2 linked regions of the Callithrix jacchus genome follow. The protein of the gene in region 2 interacts with the protein of the main gene of each other region in a pairwise test. Links are inferred from orthologs where the notes say so. Each region holds a gene or a part of one and is shown on either strand. Other genes may lie near its edges.

Region 1 (3,815 bases), on a different chromosome or scaffold from region 2:
CATTTTTACAACCATATTGAAATTTAATCCTTTTACACAGGTTAACAAAATGTATCACAAGAAAAATTAAACAATGGGTTTAACAAGACAATACTTTTGAAGTAAAACAAAAAATTTTTTCAATTTTTTTTACAAATGGTCACCTCTAGGTCAATTTACTAAACTAGGGGAACAAAGATGTTAAAATATAGCTGTGCTCAACTGAGCCACTTATCTGTACTACAGTATGGTACTTGAAATCAATCCTAAGGTCAAGATTCAAAATCATTTTAAGAAACAAGACCCTATGTGTTTTATACTACCTCCGTAAGAGGTACTTTTCCTTCCCCAAACAGTCAAAGCTTAATTAAAAGATTGACTATACATAAGTTGTTTTTCCTCCTCATATCTTCAGTTCAAAATACTATCATCATTGGTAATACGGTCTATATCTCGTCTGATCTGGATGATGTGGTCCAGGAAGTGGGGTTTGAGAAGGCGGGCCCTGCAATCGTGGAGGAGGAGGTGGCCCTCTTGGTGCAGGCCATATACCAGGACTCATTCCCCCTGGTTGTGTAAATGGAGGGCTCAGAGTTCCTTGATCTTCAGTGAACTGGGGTAATGAGTTAGGATTATAATGGTGAGGAGGGGGTGCAGTTACAGGTGGACCACCATGTTGAGGTGGGGGAGGTCCTGGAGGAGGATGATTCATATAAGGTGGCATCTGGGCAATAATATGTCCAGGGGGAGGGGTTATTGGTGGTGGAGCAGAGGTCATTGGTGGAGGTGGAGCTTGGCTATATACCAAGTGAGGAGTACCTGCAGCCTGGGGAGGATGTGGCATTGGATGGCTTATTGGTGGTGGAGGAGGTGGGGGTGGTGCATAATGTTGCTGTGGAGGCATAATATGATGAGGGTGAGATACCACTGGTTGACCCTGATATTCAGGATGATGGTGAGCAGGTGCTGGGGCAGGAGGTGGTGGTTCTCTAGCACCTGAATTTGAGTCATCCTGAATAGGGACAGTTATTAAATTGCTGTGTTTTCTTGTTGAAATACGAAAGGTTTCCTGACTGACCGATCGAGGTGGAGGTGGAGCCATGGACAATTCTGCTGGAGGAGCACGAATATCCTCATGTGGCTGATTATAGTGCTCATGTGGCACATGTTGCAAAGGAGGTGGTGGCATCATGATGTGCTGCTTTGGCGGAATATGGCTCATATGGTGCTTGTCTGGTGGCATTATAAAACGATCAGGGATTTCGGTTGGTGGTGGGGCAATAGGAGGATGAACATTTTCAAGTGAAGCACGGGTAACAGGTTTTCCAGCTCTCATATGGCGATGGTTGATATGAGCCTGTAAGTCTCTCTGAGACAAATATGTTCTCTTGCACCCTTGAACAATGCTACACATGAAGAGAGAACCTCGTGTACACTGCTCAATTCGCTGCACAGGATCACTACAGCTAAATTAGAAGGAAAAAAATGTGATTTACTAAAAGAGAATATAAAAATTATGTAATTTTCAAAAGTACGCCTGTTTTCAAAATTTGACTGTTACACAAAACATAGCAAAAGTCCACAATTAGAAGTTATAGTTATTCTACATGAACATTTAATCTTCCCTACTTTATTGTCTATTAGCCATTAAGCATAGGCATTACTGTCAACTTCAGAACTCCTAATTTTAAACAGTATATTTGAAGAAGAGACCTCACTTGGCTGGGCACAGTGGCTCATGCCTATAATCCCAGCACTTTGGGAGGCCGAGGCGGGTGGATCACGAGGTCAAGAGATCAAGACCATCCTGGTCAACATGGTGAAACCCCGTCTCTACTAAAAATACAAAAATTAGCTGGGCATGGTGGTGCATGCCTGTAGTCCCAGCTGCTCGGGAGGCTGAGGCAGCAGAGTTGCTTGAACCCAGGAGGCAGAGATTGCAGTGAGCCAAGATCGTGCCATTGCACTCCAGCCTGGGTAACAAGAGTGAAACTCTGTCTCAAAACAAAAAACAAAAAAAAACAAAGAAGAGACCTCACTCTTCCCAAGGCCTAGAATTTATCCAATTTTCTCAAACAATTTTATGTTTTGCATCTATTTGCAAAAAACCCAGGAAGAAAAAAAAAACCAAAGTATTGATTACTTACAACAATCGTGAAATTCAAACTTGTATAGTATTATTGAGTGTGGTGTTTGTTGAGCAAATAACACTAAGTGGAAAACAATAAGTAGAAGATACTGCAAAGGACTACAAATAACTTCAGCCTCATCATTAGGGGTTCTTAACATTAAACATGAACAATTCCAATCCAAGCCTTGACTATTAAGTCCCTTAAAGAAAGGGTTTTTCTGAATTGTCAGACAAATTTACACTTTCCTACCTTTCTGATTCGTGAGCACTAAATTTAACTTAACGTTTTCTTAATAACTCAAGGTCAAAATTATAACTATTTTTCATTTATCATATTTAATCCATACTTGCTGTTACAGCTTTCTTGACACAGTGGGGAAAGACAACTGAAATAGGAATCTGAAGATCTCGCTCAGTAATTTGAGGTTACTGAACCATTTCTGAGTTTGTTTCATATGTACAATGAGGTTAAAATATCTACTCCACAATGTTTTTATATCTATTTCATATTACTTAAAATATTCTAATATCAAATTAAATTGACAGTATTTAATCCCCAGTTAAGCACTATAAGCAACTATCATTGAATATGTCTGTCAGGTCATTTGACACTATACTAAATGGCTCTACACTCTTGATTTTGAGTTGTGTCTATTTTTCCATCCTTACTACAAGGCTGGCACTCCTTACTAATGTTATTATGCTTCTCTTTAGTGGCCACCTGGCACACTTGTTTTGTGCTTTTAGTTCAGTGTAAACTCAGAACTATCTCCACCTTAACAAGAGGTGAGGCACTTTCTCTTGGGTGGTGTTTAAAAACAATAATATATACTGTTTAACTCTGATTGCCATTTCTTCACTTCCTGATCTGGGTCTGTTAATCCAGATAGGCTTCTGTCCTAAGGATCTTCTACTAAGGACCTTCTGTCCTAATAAGGACCACATAAGTGAGGTGTGGCATTTAGTAGCTTGTTACATTTAGTCCATTAGTAAGGTTAGTATATTAGTATATTCAGTACATTAGTTACATTTAGTACCTTGAGAACTAATTTCCTTTTAAACAATAGGTACCTTTTAATTTTCTTTCAATACTTATACAAAAGAGGAAACCTTTAAAAGTCTTCTAGAGCTGGGCGCGGTGGCTCACGCCTGTAATCCCAGCACTTTGGGAGGCCGACGCGGGTGGATCACAAGGTCAAGAGATCGAGACCATCCTGGTCAACATGGTGAAACCTCGTCTCTACTAAAAATACAAAAAATTAGCTGGGCATGGTGGCGTGTGCCTGTAATCCCAGCTATTCAGGAGGCTGAGGCAGGAGAATTGCCTGAACCCAGGAGGCAGAGGTTGCGGTGAGCCAAGATCATGCCATTGCACTCCAGCCTGGGTAACAAGAGTGAAACTCCGTCTCAAAAAAAAAAAAAAAAAAAAGTCTTCTATGTAATGTTTTATACCACATCTGAAATCCTTTATTCCAATGAAGCAATCAAATTTACTATGTAACTTAAAATGAATGTATACCGTGTTGAAAACTAGGCATTAGAGAAAACACCCAAAAAACAAGTGATATATACTTCTAATGTCTTAACTCTTCTGAATTATAATCCTATAAACAAAATTTTAAAAAACTCATTGTACAAATTTTATAATCTATTACTGTAAAAAGCTAGAAACACACCAAGACAATTAGTTGTTATTGAGCTGTCT
Region 2 (4,360 bases):
AATAGCTAGTCGTGGTGGCACACGCCTGTAATCCCAGCTACTCAGGAGAATCGCTTGAACTCAAGAGGCGAAGGTTGCAGTGAGCCGAGATCATGCCATTGCACTCCAGCATGAGTGACAGAGCAAGACTGTCTCAAAAAAAAAAAAAAAAAAAAAAAAAAGCTGGTCAGTGTCAAATGCTTAGCACAGAGGCTGGCACAATAATCTTTAATGCCCAGCACCTATTGTTACTATTTTTGCCCCTCACATCTGTACAGAGCATTTATGGCTCAAGAAACATTGATTGTTTTAATTGTATGGGAGCCTCATAGGGAGACATTTCCGATCATTATTCCCATTAGGAGGGTGGAGAAACAGGCTTTAGGAGGTGGTCCTGACCTAGGGAATTACTTTGCTGACTCACTAACCCATGGAGCTCTACAGTTAAAGAAGACTAGATTAAAAAATAAGAACTCAATAAAGGGGCTGAAGCAGGAAGATCACCTGAGGTTAGGAATTTGAGACCAGCCTGGGCAATATAGTGAGATCCCATCTCTAGAAGTATTATTATTATTATTTTTTTAATTAGGCTGTTCGAGAACTGGTGCAGTGGCTTACACCTATAATCCCAGCACTTCGGGAGGCTGAGGAGGGTGGATCACCTGAGGTTAGGAGTTCCAGACCAGCCTGGCTAACATAATGAAGACTCGTCTGTAGTAAAAATACAGTTAGCCAGTGTGGTGGCACACACCTGTAGTCCCAGCCACTTGAGAGACTGAGACAGGAGAATCGCTTGAACCTGGCAGGTGGAGGTTGCAGTGAGCCGAGATCGTGCCATTGTACCCCAGCCTGGGCAAGATGGAACCAGACTCCTTCTCAAAAAAAAAAAAAAAAAAAAAAAAAAAAAGCTGCTCGCTCAGTGGCTCATGGCTCACACCTGTAATCCCAGCACTTTGTCAGGCCAAGGCAGGAGGATCGCTTCAGTCCAGAAGTTCAAGATCAGGCTAGGCAATACAGGGAGATACAGCGCCCCTACTTCCCCTATCTGCCCAGATTCATCTCCCTACAAAAAGACAAAAAAAAAAAGTAGTCTGGCATGGTGGTGTGCACCTGCAGTCCCAGCCACTAGTGAGTCTGAGGCAAGAGGATTGGTTGAGCCCAGGAGTTCGAGGCTGCAGAGAGCTGTGATCGCCCCATTGTACTCCAGCCTGGGTGAAAAAGCGAGACCCCATTTCCAAAACAAACAAAAAGAATTCAGTCAAGTGTAGAAGACCTTTCTGATCCCATGTCTTAGTGAGCACCGGCGGGGCTGGGATTCGAACCCAGTGGATCGATCCCATAACCCATCTAGACCCTAGCAACTCCAGACTGGTGGGTCACCGGTCTGCCGGAGGCCGAGGGGCGGGACCGCGGGCGGGCCGTCATTCCCGCGGCGGAGGGTTCCGTGCTGCTGATTGGCCGCGGCCGGCAGGTGCACCCTCAGCCAATCAGCGGAGCCGGAGGCGGTGCCTCCGAGGCTCACCTGGCGGCCGCCGCGCCGCCCCTCTCAGTGTCGTCGGAGCCTCAAAGCACCTGTGAGCTCGCGAAAGTCCGTTCAGACTCCAGCCCGGCCCAGACCGGCCCGACCCGACCGCACCCGGCCCCCGCCCTTGCTCGGCGTCCCCGGCCGACCATGGGCCCTTTGAGCCGCAGCCACTCCGCGCTGCTTCTGCTGCTGCTGCTGCAGGTACCTCAAGCCCCCGGCCTTGCGAGGGACGCGTTCTGGCTGCACGCTCTGCGCCCCAGCCCCGCGCCCCTTCTTCTCCCGTCGTCGCTGCTTCCCTTCTTCCAAGAAAGTTCGGGTCCCGAGGAGCTTAGCGGCCTGAAGCCTCGCGTGCTCCGGACCCCGCAGTGATGGGAGTGGGGAGGTGGTGAGGGGCGAGCGCTGCTTTGACGCCTGGCCGCGGGCTCCGCGGGGTGGGCTCGGGCGGGCGGTGGGGGCGTGGAGCGGGGTGGAAGGCGGAGTGTGGAGAAGGGGAGCCCCGGTGCAAGTCGAGGGGGAGGCAGGAGAGGTAGGGACGATCCCCGAGGGAGGGAGAGGGGCATCCGTAGAAAAAAAGGCACCTGCCATGCGAAGAAAGGTTGTAAATAGGAGTGGGGGTCCAAGGGGTAAGAAAGTGGAGTCGGAGGAGGTGGGAGCGCCTCTTGCTCTGAGGACTAGCGCGTTCGCGGTCTAAGGAAAGTGGGGTTGAGAAGAATGAAGACATCTCCAGTAAAATGAGAAAAGAGACCGGAAGGAAAGGTGGGCTAGGTCTAGCGGGAGTGACCCGGCGCCCCCCACTTCGAGAGTTCCTGGGGGCTTGGCCGCCGCGGGTTTCGGGGTAGGGGAGGGTGACGTCGCTGCCCGCCGGGGGCTGGAGGCGGGGGTCCTCCCCAAATCCCGGCGCCAGAAGCGAGGGAGGGGCGCGGCGCTGTTGGTTTCGGTGTGAGCCGGAGGGGACCCTCCGAGTCACCCAGTTCCATCTACCTTTCCCCCCACCCCAGGTCTCGTATAGGGTCTGCCAAGAGCCGGAGTCCTGCCACCCCGGCTTTGATTCCGAGAGCTACACATTCACGGTGCCTCGGCGGCACCTGGAGAGAGGCCGCGTCCTGGGCAGAGGTGAGGGCGCGCCGCCGGTGTCCATGGGCGGAGTGGGGTGGGGTTGGAAAGGGGCCGAGAAACTGCACTCCCACGCCCCTGGGTTGGAATGGGCAAGCTCCCTTCTTGGCTCAACCGACACCCCTTTGGAATTTACACAGATTTGGGGATCCAAATGTTTATGACTGAGCACTGTGGTGGAGAGGGTAGCCCTGCCTGGTTGTTAACTATGTAATAAAGAAGCAGAGGTTGAGGGCATTTACTAGAAGCCTTCGTGTTTCTCTTATTGCCCTGAGGCACTGTAGAGATAGTGTCTCATTTCAGACTGCAAAAACCTGCTGGGTGTGAAGGCCCGGCGGGAATATTCCCATTTTACAGATGAGCAAACCGAGGCTCAGAGGGTGACAAAGCAGGTATCTGAACTGGGATCTGACTACCACGCTCCATTAAGCACCATCTCTGGAATGACTGAATAGCAACCCTCTCCTGGTTACTGGGCTGGAGCTTTTGTTTATACAGATTAAAGCTTTCTTTTTTAAAGACAGGGTCTTGCTCTGTTGCCCAGGCTGGAGTGCAGTGGTGCAATCATATAGCTTACTGCAGCCTCCATCCTCTGGGCTCAAGTGATCTTTCCCACCTCAGCCTCCCTAGTAGCTGGTATTACAGGCATGTGCCACCATGCCTGGCTAATTTATTATTATTATTATTATTATTTTTAAGATGGAGTTTCACCATGACAGCCAGGCTGGTCTTGAACTCCTGACCTCAGGTGATCCACCCACCTCAGCCTCCCAAAGTGCTAGGATTACAGGTGTAAGCCACAGCGCCCAGCCAATTTAAAACATTTTTTTAGGGTTGGCATGGTGGCTCACGCTTGTAATCCCAGCACTTTGGGGGGCCAAGGCAGGCAGAGTCAGGAGTCAAGTGGGCAGAGTCAATGAGGTTAGGAGTTCCAGACTAGCCTGGCCAACATGGTGAACCCTGTCTCTACTAAAAAAATACAAAAATTAGCTGGACACGGTGGCATGTACCTGTAATCCCAGCTATTCGGGAGGCTGAGGCAGGAGAATTGCTTGAACCCAGGAGGCGGAGGTTGCAGTGAGCTGAGATGGGACCACTGCACTCCAGCCTGGGTGACAGAGCAAGACTCCATCTCATAAAATAAAATTTCTTTTAGAGACAGGAATCTCCTCATGTTGCCCAGGCTGGTGTGGAACTCTTAGGCTCAAGAGATCCTTCTGTCTCAGCTTTCCAGAGTGCTGGGATTGCAGACCTGAGACACTGTGCCTGGACTGAAACTTCTTGATACAGATCCTATTTCTCCCAAGGAAGAATGTTTTTTTGTCATATATGTATGTATGTATATATATATATATATATATATATATATATATATATATTTTTTTTTTTTTTTTTTTTAAGACGAAGTTTCACTGTTGTTGCCCAGCCTGGAGTACAGTGGCATGATGTCTGCTCACTGCAACCTCTGCCTCCTGGGTTCAAGCGATTCTCCTGCCTCAGCCTCCTGAACAGCTGGGATTACAGGCACCTGCCACTGCACCCAGCTAATTTTTGTATTTTTAGTACAGACGGGGTTTCATCATGTTGGCCAGACTGGTCTCGAACTCCTGACCTCAGGTAATCCACCTGCCTCTACCTCCCAAAGTGCTGGGATTATAGGCACGAGCCACCGTGGCCAGCCAGGAATAATGATATTTTTTAAAAGGCATGGAAGTTCTGACTCAGGATAAAAATGCATACAAA

What was found.
Region 1: the proteins of CDH1 (region 2) and CBLL1 interact in a two-hybrid assay, tested with the Homo sapiens proteins (2 studies listed by BioGRID, with this or other methods). The link is inferred for Callithrix jacchus from reciprocal best matches to the Homo sapiens genes CDH1 and CBLL1.

Annotation. Positions count from the first base shown.
Region 1 is NC_133512.1:78,216,348-78,220,162, reverse strand, and holds part of CBLL1 (E3 ubiquitin-protein ligase Hakai), read right to left. Parts: intron 1,446-3,815; coding exon 410-1,445; 3' UTR 1-409. UniProt on the Homo sapiens protein: E3 ubiquitin-protein ligase that mediates ubiquitination of several tyrosine-phosphorylated Src substrates, including CDH1, CTTN and DOK1. Targets CDH1 for endocytosis and degradation.
Region 2 is NC_133521.1:26,279,222-26,283,581, forward strand, and holds the start of CDH1 (cadherin-1), read left to right. Parts: upstream 1-1,527; 5' UTR 1,528-1,651; coding exon 1,652-1,705; intron 1,706-2,502; coding exon 2,503-2,617; intron 2,618-4,360.